2 linked regions of the Pelodiscus sinensis genome follow. The protein of the gene in region 1 purifies or fractionates together with the protein of each later gene. This does not show direct contact. Links are inferred from orthologs where the notes say so. Each region holds a gene or a part of one and is shown in the gene's direction. Other genes may lie near its edges.

Region 1 (7,714 bases):
ATCTTCATCTCCAATGGTGGCTACTGCCTCTTTGCACTGAATTGATCTCTTTTAGTGGGGAAAGTCTAAGAATCATTTCCTGTCTGTGGTGAATTCAAACTAGCCTCACTGCAGACCAACAGGGATCCAAAAGCTGAAGTCACTTGGCAACAGCAACCCATGAATGATTCCTTACTTGGTGCTCATAGAGCAGAAGTTTTTTTTAAATTAACTTTATTGCAACAATCACCCAGGGAAGGGTCATTTTGTAAACTTTTCCTGTACATTTCATGTGGTGTAAATAAACATACAATTAATCAGACCGTATTCTTCTGTGGAGCAAAAGATGGAGTTTTGTTCATGTGGGTGTCGTAGTACAGTTCTCTCTCGGCAAACAATATTGTGCTAATATGATAACATGAGTTTTCCTGTTTTTGATGGGGTATAATATAGAGGTTACTGGAAACTTGTGCCCCTGTGGTTCCTTGCAGCTGGTTCATCTGGATCTAGATTAGTTATAAGCAAGAACACATCATCCTTAGCAGGGGACAGATAGTATTAATCAGCACAAAGAAAACAGAACTGTTTGTTTATTTAAAACCCCTTGTTCAACAGCCACTCTTTCAGTTCATTGTCAAAATAGCCTTTAATACGGATGCTAGCAGTGACTTCATTGACTTGAATAGGTGGTGGTTTCCCAGCAAGCTGAGTGAGGAACTCCTTAACTTCCTTCTCCAGGGCCTGAAGTTAAAGAAACAGAACAAAAATCATGTCTCTATTTAACTAAATCAAATTGACAACCCAAAATTTGGTTTAGTCATCAAATACTAGGCCAGGCTCTCAGCTGTTAGGATCATGTTTGACTTGGTTTAAAGCTGGGCATGCATCAGGCATAACACCAAATAGTCCAGACATGTTAATTGTGTTGTAGGAGCTGTACGAACAGCAGTCACTAGTTTTGCTAGTCTGGTATTCTGCTTCCTGTTGTGGTAGATAATTCTTTTACAAATATAACTCAATTTTCTGCACCCATGCATGGGAGGAGGAAACTCCTCAGGAAAAAGAACTTTACTTTTTGTTCTGGACTTGAATAGCATCCCTATTAGCTTTTTTCTAAACTAATGGCTGTTATGGGGAATATGTAATTGTCTCTCCAGCTGCTCAGCTCTGAAGGCAGCACTGCCATCACCAGCAGCGCAGCAGTAAGAGTAGCATTACTGCATTCCCCCTCCCCCTTTTTGGGTCAAGACTCAAATTACCATGAAATTTCAGATTTAAATAGTTGAAATTATGAAATGTACTCTTAAAATCCTATGATTGTGAAATTGTCCAAAATGGACCAAATTTGGTAGATCCCTCACTATAATTCTTTGATTTGCTGTAAGACTTTTGCAGAATACAGCCACTCCCCGAGTTACAACCACCTCTACTTATGACCATCCGCACTTACGACCAAAGCAGTCGTAAATGTGGATCCGTGTTACAAACGGCGATCCGTGCTTATGAACAGCGTGGTTGCCATGTAACTCTATAGGATCCGAGTTACGAACACTTCGAGTTACGGACCAAGTGTTGGTCCATAACTCAGGGAGCGGTTGTACATTCAATACATTTTCTCCTATTAAATTTGCATTCCATTTTGAGGGGTAAGGAGAATCATTGAATGTACACTTTTAGAAGCTGTGTAATTGTGGATCTGCTGTTCGTCCCTAGTGGAATGAGTTGGAATAGCACATACCCAGATATCACCTTCAATTTTCCTGATGACAGTCATCCGCCTGTTGCCACTAGTAATGTCCTTATAGACTGGAACGTTGTGCATCCGGGAACGTCTTACAAAGTAAGGAAGGGCAGGTGGAGTATCTAATCAAAAAAATTGATTTCAACTCTAGGCTAGAACAATGTCTGGTCTGTATGCTCCACTAGTGAGCTGCAATCAGAATAGTGACTCTGATGAAGCTCAAGTCATTTCAGTTTGCAACTCTACTCTCCCTACCACAACCTTTCACTAACATCTAAAAATTCAACTGGGTTGTTCCTGGCTAAGGCAGTCACTGGTAAATATGCAATCGGAATTTAGCAGCCTTATGCATAAAGGCAGAACAGACACCTGTTCATGCCAGTAACTTTACTAGGGAAAAACCCCCAAAAAACAAATTGTCACTTTTCTGATACCAACTACTAACAAGGTTTGTATTTCTCAAGTTTTAGAAACATAGGATAAAGTATTCCAACAGCCAGCCTATGTTGATGGAAGGACTACTACAAGCATTAGTCTCTTTCTGTACCATACTCAAAATCACAAATCTTTCAGGTTACAGGAAACGAGGCCAGCATTAGGGGCCGTCAGGAGAGACTGCTATTGTTTGACTGCCTTCTGGTCCTAGAAAAATGTACCTTTCTATACCTAAAAAATGTAGGTTTCAGAGACAAAAGGGCACCTGTTATTGCATAAAAACTTCCTCATACCAAAATATCTCTGTAGCAGGGATGGGCAATTACAAATAATGGGTGGGCCACATGATTGGCCCTCCTTCACCTCAGTGGGCTGCAGTAACCCATTGCCCTCTGGATATTCACCCCTCGTGCTCTCCCACATGCCTTCCAAACTGAGGCTCCAGAGTCACACACTGCTCCCTCCCTTCCCAGCAGTTTCAGAATGTGTGAATTGCCTGATTTGCACTCAGTGCCCACCTTGCTCCATCACAGCTCTAGGAGGGACAGAGCATGAACCAGGCAATTCATGCATTCCAAAAGTGCTGGAAGGGAGGAGCAGGTTAAGTGAGGGGCTCTGGTGCCTCAGTGTGGGTGGGTGGGGGAGGGGAAAGGTGGGCCTGCAAAGCACAGGATGCCCACTACTGGTTTATATATATCATGACTAAAACCCACCACTTTAAAAATCACATGAAAAAAAAACAATCTAATGGAAAATAACAGTGGTTGACACGCGTTCCCCTTCACTTAAGAGCAGTGGCTGTTCTGAGATACTTACATTCAGACTAAAGATGGGTTCCTTGCAACAAAGGAGTGGGTAAGAGAACCTCTGAAGGCTGGATCAGCTGGTGGATACAGATTACCACTGCCCTGCTGCTTCCCCCATCCCCAGGACAATCAAGACCTGGGGATGGGAGTGTGTGAAGTCTCCTTTCCCCACCCCCCAAGGGTGCACAGCACCAGAGGGAATCACCTGCTGTTCTCTCTAGCCTCTGCTCCCAGGCCCTGATAAAGTCTCCTCCCACCCAAGGGGCATGGCATCACAGTGAACAGAAGCAGTTCTCTCTAGCCAGCACATGCCCCAGGCAGGGCGGGGGCAGAGGCTGAGGGAATTCACATGCTCCCAGGCTCTGATTGGCCTGGAGAGTGCTCGAAGTCTTCAGTTGCAGTGCCTAGAGGGAACTGCCAGCTGTTTTAAAACTGCTGGCACTTCTCTCTAGCTGCTTGGGGTAAGTGGGGGGAGAGACTTCATGTGTTTCCCCCACCCCCAGGCTAATCAGGATCTGTGGGCAGAGAACTCTTCCTGCCCTGTCCCACCCCTTCCAGGGGAGCCCAGGTCCCCTTTAGAAATCTATGAAGTGGCTCCCTTTTAAAAATTATTGCCCACCCTTGTCACAACATTACAATCTCTGGCTCTCGGTCAATGCTGTGTAGTATTCCAGCTCTGGCATGCTAAATCAGCACAAAATAGTTGCTACCAGTAGGCTGAGTGGAATTTGTTTTGATAGATAATGTTTTAATTTAAATTTCCAGTTGTGCAAAATCGTGGACTAAGTATTTTATTGATTTAAATTTCCCACAATTGTGAAAACTTAAAACATGTTGAAATTCAAAGTTAAACTGTTAACATACAAACTTATCACATTTAAAATATACAAACTAAATAGTACACCAAATTAAGTTATTAAGCAGTGTTTTTAGGTTGACTAGCTGTGTCAGTTATCAATGAAAATATTTCAGGTTTGTGTGCATGTCGTGAAATGGACTGTTAGTGATGAACTCCTCCCAAGCCTAGCTCCAGGACAGATGCCCTATCTATACGGTTACCTGATGGAGGTCTCCAGCCAGACGGGGTGGGGTACTGGTCGTGTTTGGGGGGAGCAGGAATTCTGGTGGGTGGAATGAGTCTCTCCACAAATTTATATTCTTCAGTGGATTCGACAATCCCGGGGTAGTGAGGATCGCGGGTCTCAGGTTCGTCCCGGGACTGGCTCTGAAACGCACGGGGTGGGGGAGGGAATAACGGTCAGGCCATCCTGCCTGCAGAAGCCACGCGCAGCCCGGCCCATGGCGGGCGCCTTCTCACGGCTCTAGCCGCGCAGCGCTGTGGGGGGCGGGTCCAAGCTGCAGGCGCCAAGGACGAATCAGCCACCCGCGCGTCCCTCTCCTCGGTACCTGCCGGGCTGTCAGCTGCAGCAGCCGCCGAGCCCCCGCGCCCCACAGGCATCTCGGCCGCCTCCTCAGCCCCGCCAGGGACATGGCCGCTGCCATCTTGCTGCCGCCTGCGGCTGGAAGGTGGGAAGGGCTGTGACGTAAAAATCTGGCGCCTCCGCGGGCGACAGCCGTCGCGTGTGACGTGACGCAGTACGCAGTGCGCGCGCCCCCGCCGTACGTATATGAACGTGCGCGCGACTCGGCTAAATTCTTTTCGGCTCCATCTTGTGAAGCGGCGGCGTCTCGTGGTGAGCGAGGTGCCGGTGTTCCTCCCGCCTGAACCGGGTCTGGAGTGGGGGATGTAGAGGGGCGGGGCACGAAGCGCTTCACCCGTCCCCTGCGAGCTCAGCCGGCGAGCGGCCTGGGCGCGGGGCTGGCAGCTGTAGGGCGGGGTTAGTGAGGGGGGAGCGGAGATGCAGCCTAAGTCCCTACGGCCGGCGCCTGGCTGGGCTGACAGGCCCGCTGGGGCCGACTCCCGTCAGGGACCGTGACCCGCCAGGAGATCCCGGGCTGGTCAGCTCGGCTGGGCACGTTTAACCGCTTCTCCCCAGTGACCCCTCCTGGTTCTGTCCCCGGGTGGAGTCAGCGGGTTTTAGGGCAGGGGCGGGCTGGGAGGCAGAACCTCTGGGTTCTGTTTCAGTGGCTACGGGGGGCTGCGTGTTGCACAGCCCTTCCGACTAATCCCGGCCCAGGCGGTAGCAGCTCTGTCTGTTGCCAGGATGGTAGCGAAGTCCATCTGGGAAGGAGCATCTTTGTGCCTTAGCTGCTCTGCTACCTGTGAAACCTGGGCCATCGTTGGGAAGGTGCAGAGACTGACTTTGGTTAGACAGTGCTTGGTCTGGGCAGTGGAAGCAGAGTTCAGGGGTCTTTTGAAATATCTGCCTTTGCTGGGATTTGGGTATCCTGATTGCATTGTAGGTAATGATTTACTGCTGCAGGCTCAGTCATTTAACTCATGTTTCAATATGGAATTCACATCTAGAGAAGGGAGCTGGCAGTCCAGTCTTCTCAATTCCATCACTTGATCTTGTGTTGAAGCAAGTGACGGGACTTCAGGGTTTGTCACTGGCTCAGGAAGGGTGGGAGTAGAGTCTAATGGACTACAGCAGAGATGCTGATAGTCAAAATTCCTAACTTTTATTCCTAAGTATTTCACTGACTCAGTGTCTGCTTGTTTTCTGTTTGGATTTTATCTTTAGTGCTCCCAGTAGGTTATTGGGTAGCTGCTGAGAGCTGACAGGAAAGCTGCTTGTCTCTCTCAGGCTGTATAATGCAACGAAGGCACAGAATGCAAGACTTAATATCTTTAGGCTGCTGTGGAAATTGTCTGATTTTGAGTAATTTGCCCTAACCCTGGTTGTACTGTCCATTCAGCGTGACTGGAACCATGCAGCTGTTCATCCGTGCTCAGAACCTGCACACCCTTGAGGTGTCTGGACAGGAAACAATATCTCACCTTAAGGTAAGGAAGGATTCCCTAGCCACATTCTGTCTTATGCCACGCTTAACCGTTCTGTCAGGCTTTTCAATGCATCCTTTTGACAGAATGATCCTGTCCAGAGGGGATGGCAGAATTGCTGCTGACTTCTGATCACAAATACTGGCAGAGAACGTATTGGGCACCATATGTCCCTTTCCTCTGCTTCGTCTGTGTTGAAAGTAGCCCTGTGAGAATTAGGGTCATGGCTGCCCAAAGATGGACCACATCAGGCTTTGATCTTGACATTATAAGCTAAGCATGTGCTTTCTAGACCAGAACTTGGATGGAAAACCAAGATGTTCTGGAGTTGAATAATTAAAGAGCACTCTGAGTCTGTACCGATTCCAGTGCCCTAGCATGGTGTTGGAAAATGCAGTGCTGAAGGAAGTAGGGTGGGATAGAGCTCTGGTGGGATTGTTTTCCCCTCTTGAATTAGTACTGGTGTCAACCAGTACTCCCTAGTGTCTAGTCCTTCAGAAAAAATAGTAAACATTCCTGATTGCTTGATATCTGGCACTTTCAGTGATCCCAAATTATAATTGGGATAATTGCATTTGGCCTTTTAGTTTGAATGAAGGGCTGTTAGTTCATCCCATAATTTAGTGGTACTATTCCCCAGTGCCACTCTAAACAACTCTAGCCAGCTTTTCTATAGCTTGTATGCCTTAGTGCAGGGATTCCTCTCCCCTCCATGGCATTTGCCTCGTTCATGTCCTCAGACACTTTTGGAATGCATTCTCTTTCGTTGCAAAGCCAGATGTGACAGCTCTAACTCTCCTCGTAAATCAGTCCATCTCACTTCTGTTCAATAGTATTGGGATCTGAGCTCCATTCTACCACTCAACCTTTTTAGGATTGTGCTGCCCAGAGAGAAAGTCTTTGATCAGGAATGGTGTGCCCCCTTGGGTCACATCCCTCTGCCTTGTGCCATGGAGGGGAATCTGATACCCACTGACTTGTGGAAGGTGTTTGATTAGCTTTGCTCTCCCAGCCTCCCTAGCTGATTGTATCTTGTGTCTCTTATCAGGCTCACATTGAGTCCCTGGAAGGCATTGCACCAGAAGATCAGGTGGTTCTCTTGGGTGGAACTCCTTTGGAGGATGAAGCTATCATTGGGCAATGTGGCATCAGCGAACTTGCCACACTGGAGGTGGCTGCTCGCATGTTGGGTGGTAAGTATTAAAAGGCCCTGGTGTACTGAAGTAAAATTCCATGAGGCCCCTGGACAAGTGGAGGAGGCATGCAAAGAATTCCCATCCCATTCTCCTAATTAGCTGTATTTCAGGAGTGGATAGTCAAGCTGTTAACTGCCAGCTACAGCAGGGTCACGCTAGAGTGAGACCACTGTGGCTCTGAATGGTGCCTGGGAAAAGCCAGAGGACATGGAGGATGTCTGTGTAAAACAAGCTTGTTGGGTCTCAGCCCAGTGCACGAGGATCCAATAGCAGAGAGCACTCTGAGGCCCCAGAGTGAATGGAACACTTCAAAGAACAAACTTCTCTCCAGCCTAGGACTGAGCCCATTTGGCTTAGCTTGACCACGGGAACCTTGCCAGCCCTTTGGATGGCCATGTAGACTTCCCTCAAAAATCAAAACAAAACACAACCCACAGCGCACACGGGGGGGAGGAACAACAACCCCACAGCACAGTCTCAGCCTGAGACTGAAAGTACACTGCAGTTCTGTAGCCACGACTAGTGACTAAAACACAGGCCCTGGAATGACAAAGTTGGGATTAATCTGGTCAACTGTCCCATATACACTCTACATAATGCCCAATATCCTGTGTTGCTGAGTGCAGCTCTCTTGACTTCTCTTGCCAGGTAA
Region 2 (8,043 bases), on another chromosome or scaffold:
AGAAAGTGCACCAAGAGATTCTCATCCCTGAGCAGACACTCTGCAACAAGTTTACATCACCTCGCTCTACTGTGGGACCAGGACCCTACGAACACAGTGAAGTTACCATGAATATAACCACTTCTGCCCAAAGTGAGAGTCTTTTCATACAAGCAAAGGACCTATCCTAGACTCAGGAGCAATGTGCATTTTATACTGCACTGGTTTATTATTTTAACAGGAGGATCTCACATTACCTAGTAAATAATCGACACCACTTAACTTTTTCTGAGTGGCCTCCCACCCAACTACTAAATGTAAACCTGCTTAGCTTACAAGGGCTGAAAATGTCAGGTTCTATGATTACAAAAGGAAGGCACTTCTGAATTCAGGAGTTTTGGAAGTGCACAGAACTGGTTCCTGCATAATTACAGAACTTCAGTAAAACCGAACAATTTTCAGTCTGTGTGATTGGAGGATATCGGGATCCATATTATGAGACTGTCCCACATAATGAGGAAAAGTTGAGGTGCCTTTGCTTTCCTCTTGTTCTGCTCTTTGTTTCTGCAATATTACTGTCTTCTTTAAAAAAGAAAATAATAATAATAATAATAAAAAACTGGTAATGGCAGTTGAAAATAGCAACTCTAGAGTCCCACTTGGCACTGGGAAAATACCAGCATTTGTTGTTCAATTGTATCCTACTTTTTCCAAAACAAATGACAGTGGAACAGTATTTTATTTTGGAGAAATGATATAACAGCATTATGAATTAAACTTGAGCACACCTGTTCAAAGCTGGAGGACAGGTGCTAAATTCCCTTTCTGAATATTAGTGCACATCCTGACCTTCTCATTAGTCTTAGGGGGAAAATCTTTGATTCTAAGCCAACTCAATTTTTATAAATAAATGTATCCCATAGAATCTTGCCTACAATGCCATAAAATATGATCAACAGTTTCTTTGGTTTTGTACACATTACTCAGCCCATCCTTATGTCTTTTTCATAAGTTTAACTTTTCATTGAAGGTGCAATGAAAATGACTATTTCATTTTTCCTATCATGCCTATGGAGTATATTATCTATGATTTTTGAGCATGCATCATTAAACCTTCATCCTTTTGTTTCCTTTGTCTATAGTTCTTGATATTCTTTTGCAAGTTCCTTCATGAATCACACTTTTTAATCCTTGTTTATTAAAGCCATATCCCTTTCTGCTTTGACTTTCCTCCAGTCAGGGCCTGAAACAACCCCCCCTTTATGCCTGGCCCTGCCCTGCCTTTTCCCACCCCTTCTCTGTTCTCATCCACCCTGTCCTTTAAGCTCCACCCCCATCTTACCACCCTTGCTCCACCTCCTCCTTATCCCTATTGCACCCCTTCCCTCAAAGCCCCTGCCCTGAGCAACACAGCCAGGGTATTATTGAGGGCCTAGTGCTGGCAGTAGGGGTTTGAGCATGCCCCTGCACTCACCGCTGCTGTGATGAAATGGAGCAATCTGTCTAGGAGATGGTGAAGTAGAGATGAATGAAAGAAATAATCACTTCCTTTGACCTGCTGGCATTGCTCTCTACTAGTGGGTACCAATAGGCTATAAGCCTTCTTGGCAACAAGGGCACACTGTTAACTCATATCCAGCTTCTTGTCCACTGTCATTCCCAGGTCCTTGCCTGCAGAACTGCTTAGCCAGCTGACTGTATTGAAAGACAATTACAAATCAACAGTCACGCCACAATTCAGGACATTATTGCTGTCATGCTCTCCTTTATGTATGCCAGTGATTTTAGAAATTATTTCTCCTTTCATAAATGATGTCATGGTTCTGTAGTATTAACATACTTTCATATTGATATTGACTTCTTTCATTGTGATGTTATTGTGTGCAGAACTCTTCACTCTTCTGCTTCACTCTTCTGCTTTTGTGAGCTTTGTTTTATGAGAAGTGCAGGAACGTAGGCCCTGATTATGAAAACATACAAACACGCTTAAAGTTAAACAAATGCATAACTGTGAGTAGGATTGGGATCATATTTTGTTCTCTTTGATAACTTGATATGGTTTGATTAGAGAGGTTCAACCTGTATAACACTTCAGAACCATTCAGCTCAGAGAAACTAAATATTGCATGAGGGATGCAGGATCCAGTACACCTGGACTGATTACTTGCTACCCAATTGGTCTTAAGGAAAGGCACTTAAGTATCAGCATATGCATGTAACAAATAAAAAAGCATCTACAGTGCCTTGAGTCAGCAGGGGGAAAACACTATTTGGGGGGCAGCCCTGTAGAGAAGACCAAATGCTCGCTCTAGTCTCCTCTCTGCATTTCTCCCTACTAACTCAGGACCCTGCAGGAGCATTTTTACTTCTTGCAGTGCCTTGCAGGCAATTACCAATATGCACCCATAGCTATCTATACTTTATAGGTCTGGGTGCCTTCCCGGAAGTCAGACAGCAGCTGACCAGTCAGATCATATTTGACACTGACAAGAAAAAGCTGCATTGTGAGTTGGTTTGGCATTTTGTTTACAACTGATTGATTGATGTACATTTTCACAGTTGCAAAAAAGTATGGCTTTTAAAAAAAACTTGCATCATTTTAAATTCATAATTGTGAGAAATTATAAGGGGATCGTATAATGTAATGACCGTAGACAGTGAGGTTAAAGCTTAATAACCATTAAAAACAATTTTTCAACAATGCATGTCAAAATATACAATGTAATTATCCTTGAAAGAAATGCTAAGCTCTCAAGCAACATTTTCTTACCTTACCTAGTATCTGTAAATTCTGAATGTTATTGATGGAAATATTTCTGTCAGAGTCTCTGAAAGTGTTATTTACTAATTAAAGAAAACTAATCTTTCCTAGCCTAATTATTAGCATTCCTTGAACTGTGTCTTTTGTCTTATATTTAGACTGTAAGCTCTTTAGAGGGAAAAATGGCTTTTTGTTCTATTTATGCAGAGATATTTTGGCCTTGGAAAGGGTTCAGAAAAGGGCAACTAAAATGATTAGGGGTTTGGAACGGGTCCCATATGAGGAGAGGTTAAAGCGACTGGGACTTTTCAGTTTAGAAAAGAAGAGACTGAGGGGAGATATGATAGAGGTATATAAAATCATGAGTGGTGGGGAGAGGGCCGATAAAGAAAAGTTATTTATTAGCTCCCTAAATAGAAGAACTAGAGGACACCAAATGAAATTAATGGGGAGCAGGTTTAAAACTAATAAAAGAAAGTTCTTCTTCACACAGCGTGTAGTCAACCTGTGGAACTCCTTGCCAGAGGAGGCTGTGAAGGCTAGGACTATAATAGAGTTTAAAGAGAAGCTAGATAATTTCATGGAGGTTAGGTCCATAAAAGTCTATTAGGCAGGGGATAAAATGGTGTCCTTGGCCTCTGTTTGTCAGAGGCTGGAGAGGGATGGCAGGAGACAAATCGCTTGATCATTGTCTTCGGTCCACCCTCTCTGGGGCACCTGGTGCTGGCCACTGTTGGCAGGCAGGATGCTGGGCTAGACGGACCTTTGGTCTGACCCAGTACGGCCGTTCTTATGTTCTTATGAGTCTGCCACTATAGAGTTCTGGTCCTGGAGTGGTATAATATAAATAATAGTTCTAAAGCACCAGTGTAAGAAAGCAGTTTGTAGAAGGGGAGGGATAAAGATCTGTTTTAAACCCCTTTTAAAAATACATTGTGAGTCAATTAACCTTCCAAAAGGATAGAGTGAAACGATATAGTAGTACAAGGTACTGATCCTTCCACTCGCTTTGCAGACCCCAGAGAAGGCAGCGGGACTCATATGGGCACTGGGGTCTGATCACACAGAGCCAGTTGCAGGACTGAATCCCAGTTTTGTTTAGTTTACTGTGGTGTCCAACACACTAGCGGCTATTTGGCTTGTATAATGTGGCTATTTGGCATATTGAGTGTGGCTAGTTTGCTACAGCAGTAGTCACTATAGTGGTTACTGCTTCAGAACTGGTTGGACACCAGGGGTCCAGTATTTATAGCGCAAGACTGGGCAGCCAGGACTATTGGTTTCTATGGCTAGTATGACCTTGAACAAGTGACAACCTCTGCATCTCAGTTTATGCATCTGTAAAACAGAGGTGTTAACAATAATATTTAGCTTTCACTAAGCATTCTAAATCTCCTGAACTCTGGACACACTAACTAATTAATGCAGTGAGGCTTCCTTAATGCTTGGAAAGTCGTTTAAAATCCCCAAATAGTCACAGGCTTGCTGTGCCAGGTATCATTTGACAAATCCTTGGGTGGGGACAGGAGGACCCAGAAATCTCTTACCTTTGTTCTAAACGATGGTAACAGCTGTATGAAAAGTGTCACAACTTAAGGAAACCAAGGACTTGCCTCTCCGAAGCTGGGACACTTGGCATGCACCGGCCTTGCAACACCAACAGCTGATGCCTCCAATTATGGAAGGCTCCCTTCGAGGGAAAGGGGGGAGCCATTCATCTTTCTCCACCCCTCGCCCAGAAACGTGGGTGACGTTTGGGAGGGAGGAAGCTTTGTGGGGGAGCACCCATTCGTCTCCCTCCCCCTTCGGAAAGACGGGGGTGGGAGTGTGGCAAGAGGAGGAGCCAGGCGGTTTCACCTGCTTGTCCCCTTCTCAGAAAGGGCCTGGCTGTTGTTGCGGGGGGGACGCGGCGGCAGTGAGCTTGCTCCAGAAGGGCGGCTGAGGGGGGAGCCCAGTAGCGGGGTCGCTCCCCCCGCCAGGGACTCCGCTCGCCCCTGCCCCGGCGCGGCAGGAAGAGGAGGCAGGAGAAAGGGGAAGAGGCTCGAGGCCGGGCCGGGGAGGGAGGAGCGGTCCCGGGGGGGAGGCGGCAGACGCACAAGATGGCCCCTGCTGCAGAGGCGGCAGCAGCAGCGGGTCGTGGGGAGGAGGCGGCGGCGGCCGGGCGGCCCCTGCTGCTGCCGGCGCTGGAGGCTGCGGCCAGCCCCGCGTCCCGGAGCTGAAAGTCGCTGCTGCGGGGAGCTCAGCCGTGCGGTGAGTCCGGGCCCCGCGCTCGGCGGCGGGGAACAATGGGGCGGAGGGGGCCTGGCCCGGCGGGGCCGCGGGCTGGCTCGGGGCGCTCCGGCCTGTGTCCCTGCCTCGCTAGGCCTCAGGCTCCGTTTCCGAAGTGCCCCGTCTCCGAGGCGCGGTGGAGCGGGGCGCCGGAAGGGGGAGGCTTCCGTGGCCTCGGGAAGGGGGTGGGAGTCCCAGGGGCTCGGGCCCCTTTGGGGTGGGGGCAGCGGGTGCCTCTTCGGGGGGGAGAGTGAGGCCTGAGGGAGACTCTATCCCCCGCTCCTGCTGATGAGGCGGGGCAAGCCTCGCCGAGCAGATGGGAAGTTGGGGTCCCTGCCCTCGAGGGGGTTCCGCCTCCACACGCTGTGGATTTGCAGAGCAGATGTGGCACACGTCGGAGGCTTTGTTTCAGACCTGTATAGACACACACAGGCCCCCTCTCTCTCTGCCTCCCCCCGGCCCTGGCTCACCCCGTTTGGGCGCCTCTCAAAGTTGTAGGGGACATTCAGGGTGAGCTGCCCCGCGTTTTCTGTGCGGGCCTGGACATTGACAGGCATCGGGGAAGTGGAAGCCTAAAAAGAGCGACCGAACTTGAAAGTGTTTTTGTCTTTGTTTCTCACTGAGTTAAAAGATGGGGCAAGGATTTCCTGCCAGGAAACAGAGCTCTGAGTAGCTACCCTTCTGTATTGGTTGGGGGGAATACCCAGAAATGATGTTTTGTCTTCAGGGGCCATATTGAGTGAGATCTGTGCCATTTTGAGAGCCCACAGATAGGAAAACTGATATTTCTTGTGTAAAATGGTATTTCATTAAATCATTCTCCTGCCCCCCCCCCCCCCCCCCACACACACACACATACACTTCTTTCTCCTGAGCTGTTGTTTTAAAACTTGTGTTGTTTCTCATTATGGAAAAATTGTATTGGTGACATTTTATCAACTAGAAAGGAGCTTTCAGTATTCTGATAAACTGAAAATTGGCCAAACTATTAAACTCATTTTTGCAATTTATGTTAAAAAAGTTGGTTCACTCCTGTCCATGACAGTGCTACTTTTTCACCACTAAGTCTTCTAGTGACTCCTCTTTGATCACTGTATTGTAAAATGACAGTTGGATTATTTCTACATTTATACTATAGTGATGCCTAGTATCTGTGGTATGTAGAAGTATTACCTTTTTCCACTAAACTTTTTTTCTCCTCTTCAGACATCGATTTATTTTATTTTAGGCCCTCCTGCCCATTCTTATGTACTACTTAATATTTTCACTGGTATCTACTTAATTGTTTCACTGACCTCATTGAGACACACACACACACACACATGAATACACTTTTTGCACATGCTTGAGTGCTGGCAGGACTGCGGTCCACTTCTTTGTCACATAGAGAAATTGGCATAAAAATTGTCAATCCATAAACGTGGTAGTTTACATCAATAATTGAGGTGAACATATAGTTTCTATTAAAGTTAATAAGAGCTGGGTGCACCAAAGGGAATTTCCTGAAATTTTCAGCCTATTATTCCTGCCCTGCAAAGGGCTCCTGCAGAGCAGATGCTTTAAGCTGGCTATTTTGAGGGACACTTGCACTTGTTTGATAGTTTCTGATTTCCATGGCTGTCCATAAAACACCTTTGAGCAGCATTAACAATCATGGAGACAAGGAGGAAATCGCTTGGTTTTTCTACCAAAAAACACTTAATTTAAAACAAGATACTATATTTTTGGTTTGACATTGGTCTGAACTGATGTCTGTTCCATGAAACAAAGGGGAGATCTGCATGTAAAATATTGCATTGGCGTTAGGGATGTTAAATTTGATTAATTAGCTAATTGAGTAGTCGATGGAATTTCCACTGACTACTTGATTTGTCAATAAGGGGGATGCTCTCTTATCTTTTTGTGCCTCTCCCTTTGAAATGTACAAGAACCACAGCGGCTTATGTACATTTAAAAGGGAAAGGTCCCCGGCTGGTGAGGGTTCCCTTCCGTGCCTCTTCCTTTGAAGTGTACAAGAGCTGGATGCAGCTCTTGTATATTTCAAAGGGAGAGAATCAGCAGTCAGACTGTACATGGGACTATTTCAATTCCTGCTCAGGCTGTTTCCCGGATGCCCTCTGCCTCCCCTGCCCCCTGTGGAGATGGTGCGTGGGGAACCATTTTTAAGCTGGCTCCCCCCGGAACGGGCACGTGCTTTCCTTCCCCTCCCTGCTGCCTCTCACTGATAGAGGCAGCAAGAGTGGGGGGAGCAACTAATCGAGTTCCTACTCGATAAGCATTTGCTTATCGGGTGGTTGACTAGTCACTTACATCTCTAATTGGCGCAGCTGCACCAGTGTAGCATCATCTCATCAGTATGAGAAGAGCTCTCATGGACACAGCTCTGTCTACGTGGGAGTTAGGTCTCTCTAATTCTGTCACTCAGAGCTATGGATGTTTTGCACTCCTGAGCAATGTAGTTAGTGATTTAGATCTGTAGTGTAGACCTGACCATAATGATGGCTTCAGCCTGCTTCCCAAAGCGTAAGTGTCTGCATGACACTGACCAGCACCACTCTTGCTAACTGAAAGGCTTAACAGAGTTAAACGCTGAAGACATAAATTATTTAAAGATGGCAGTTTTGAACAAATGTTGCTGAGACCATTTGGAGAAGCTTGAACTCATGTTGCCTGTGACCTACCAGCTATCTAGATAAAGACTGTCACAAATGCTGGCAGTCTGGAACTCTATAGTAGTTCTGAATTCAGGAAATAGATACGTCCAAAATTTTGAATGAATTGCTTTCTTATTTATCTGAATATTTGGAAGGAATCTGAAAATGGTGGCAAGGATTGAAAATGTCACTAGTTTGGGACTTGGTATAGACATAGACTTGCCAGAATATTAGTTTCTGTAATTGTGTTTGATTTTGTTTTTAAGCACTTTCTATTTTGAATCTTTTCATTTTAACCATTGCAGAACATTAAGGGAGTTCGTGTTAGGTTTGCACTGACAGCTGGGCTGTGGTCCATCCTAAGGAGGAGGGTGGGCTCCT

The links.
Region 2: the proteins of FAU (region 1) and RC3H1 purify together in Homo sapiens (affinity purification with mass spectrometry; 3 studies listed by BioGRID, with this or other methods). This does not show direct contact. The link is inferred for Pelodiscus sinensis from reciprocal best matches to the Homo sapiens genes FAU and RC3H1.

What each region holds. Positions count from the first base shown.
Region 1 is NC_134721.1:34,638,062-34,645,775, forward strand, and holds the start of FAU (ubiquitin-like FUBI-ribosomal protein eS30 fusion protein), read left to right. Parts: upstream 1-4,533; 5' UTR 4,534-4,655; intron 4,656-5,781; 5' UTR 5,782-5,794; coding exon 5,795-5,869; intron 5,870-6,914; coding exon 6,915-7,059; intron 7,060-7,710; coding exon 7,711-7,714. Other genes in the region: MRPL49 (large ribosomal subunit protein mL49), read right to left, coding at 574-720, 1,718-1,842, 4,021-4,186, 4,369-4,464.
Region 2 is NC_134719.1:62,188,922-62,196,964, forward strand, and holds the start of RC3H1 (roquin-1), read left to right. Parts: upstream 1-4,838; 5' UTR 4,839-4,990; intron 4,991-8,043. UniProt on the Homo sapiens protein: Post-transcriptional repressor of mRNAs containing a conserved stem loop motif, called constitutive decay element (CDE), which is often located in the 3'-UTR, as in HMGXB3, ICOS, IER3, NFKBID, NFKBIZ, PPP1R10, TNF, TNFRSF4 and in many more mRNAs.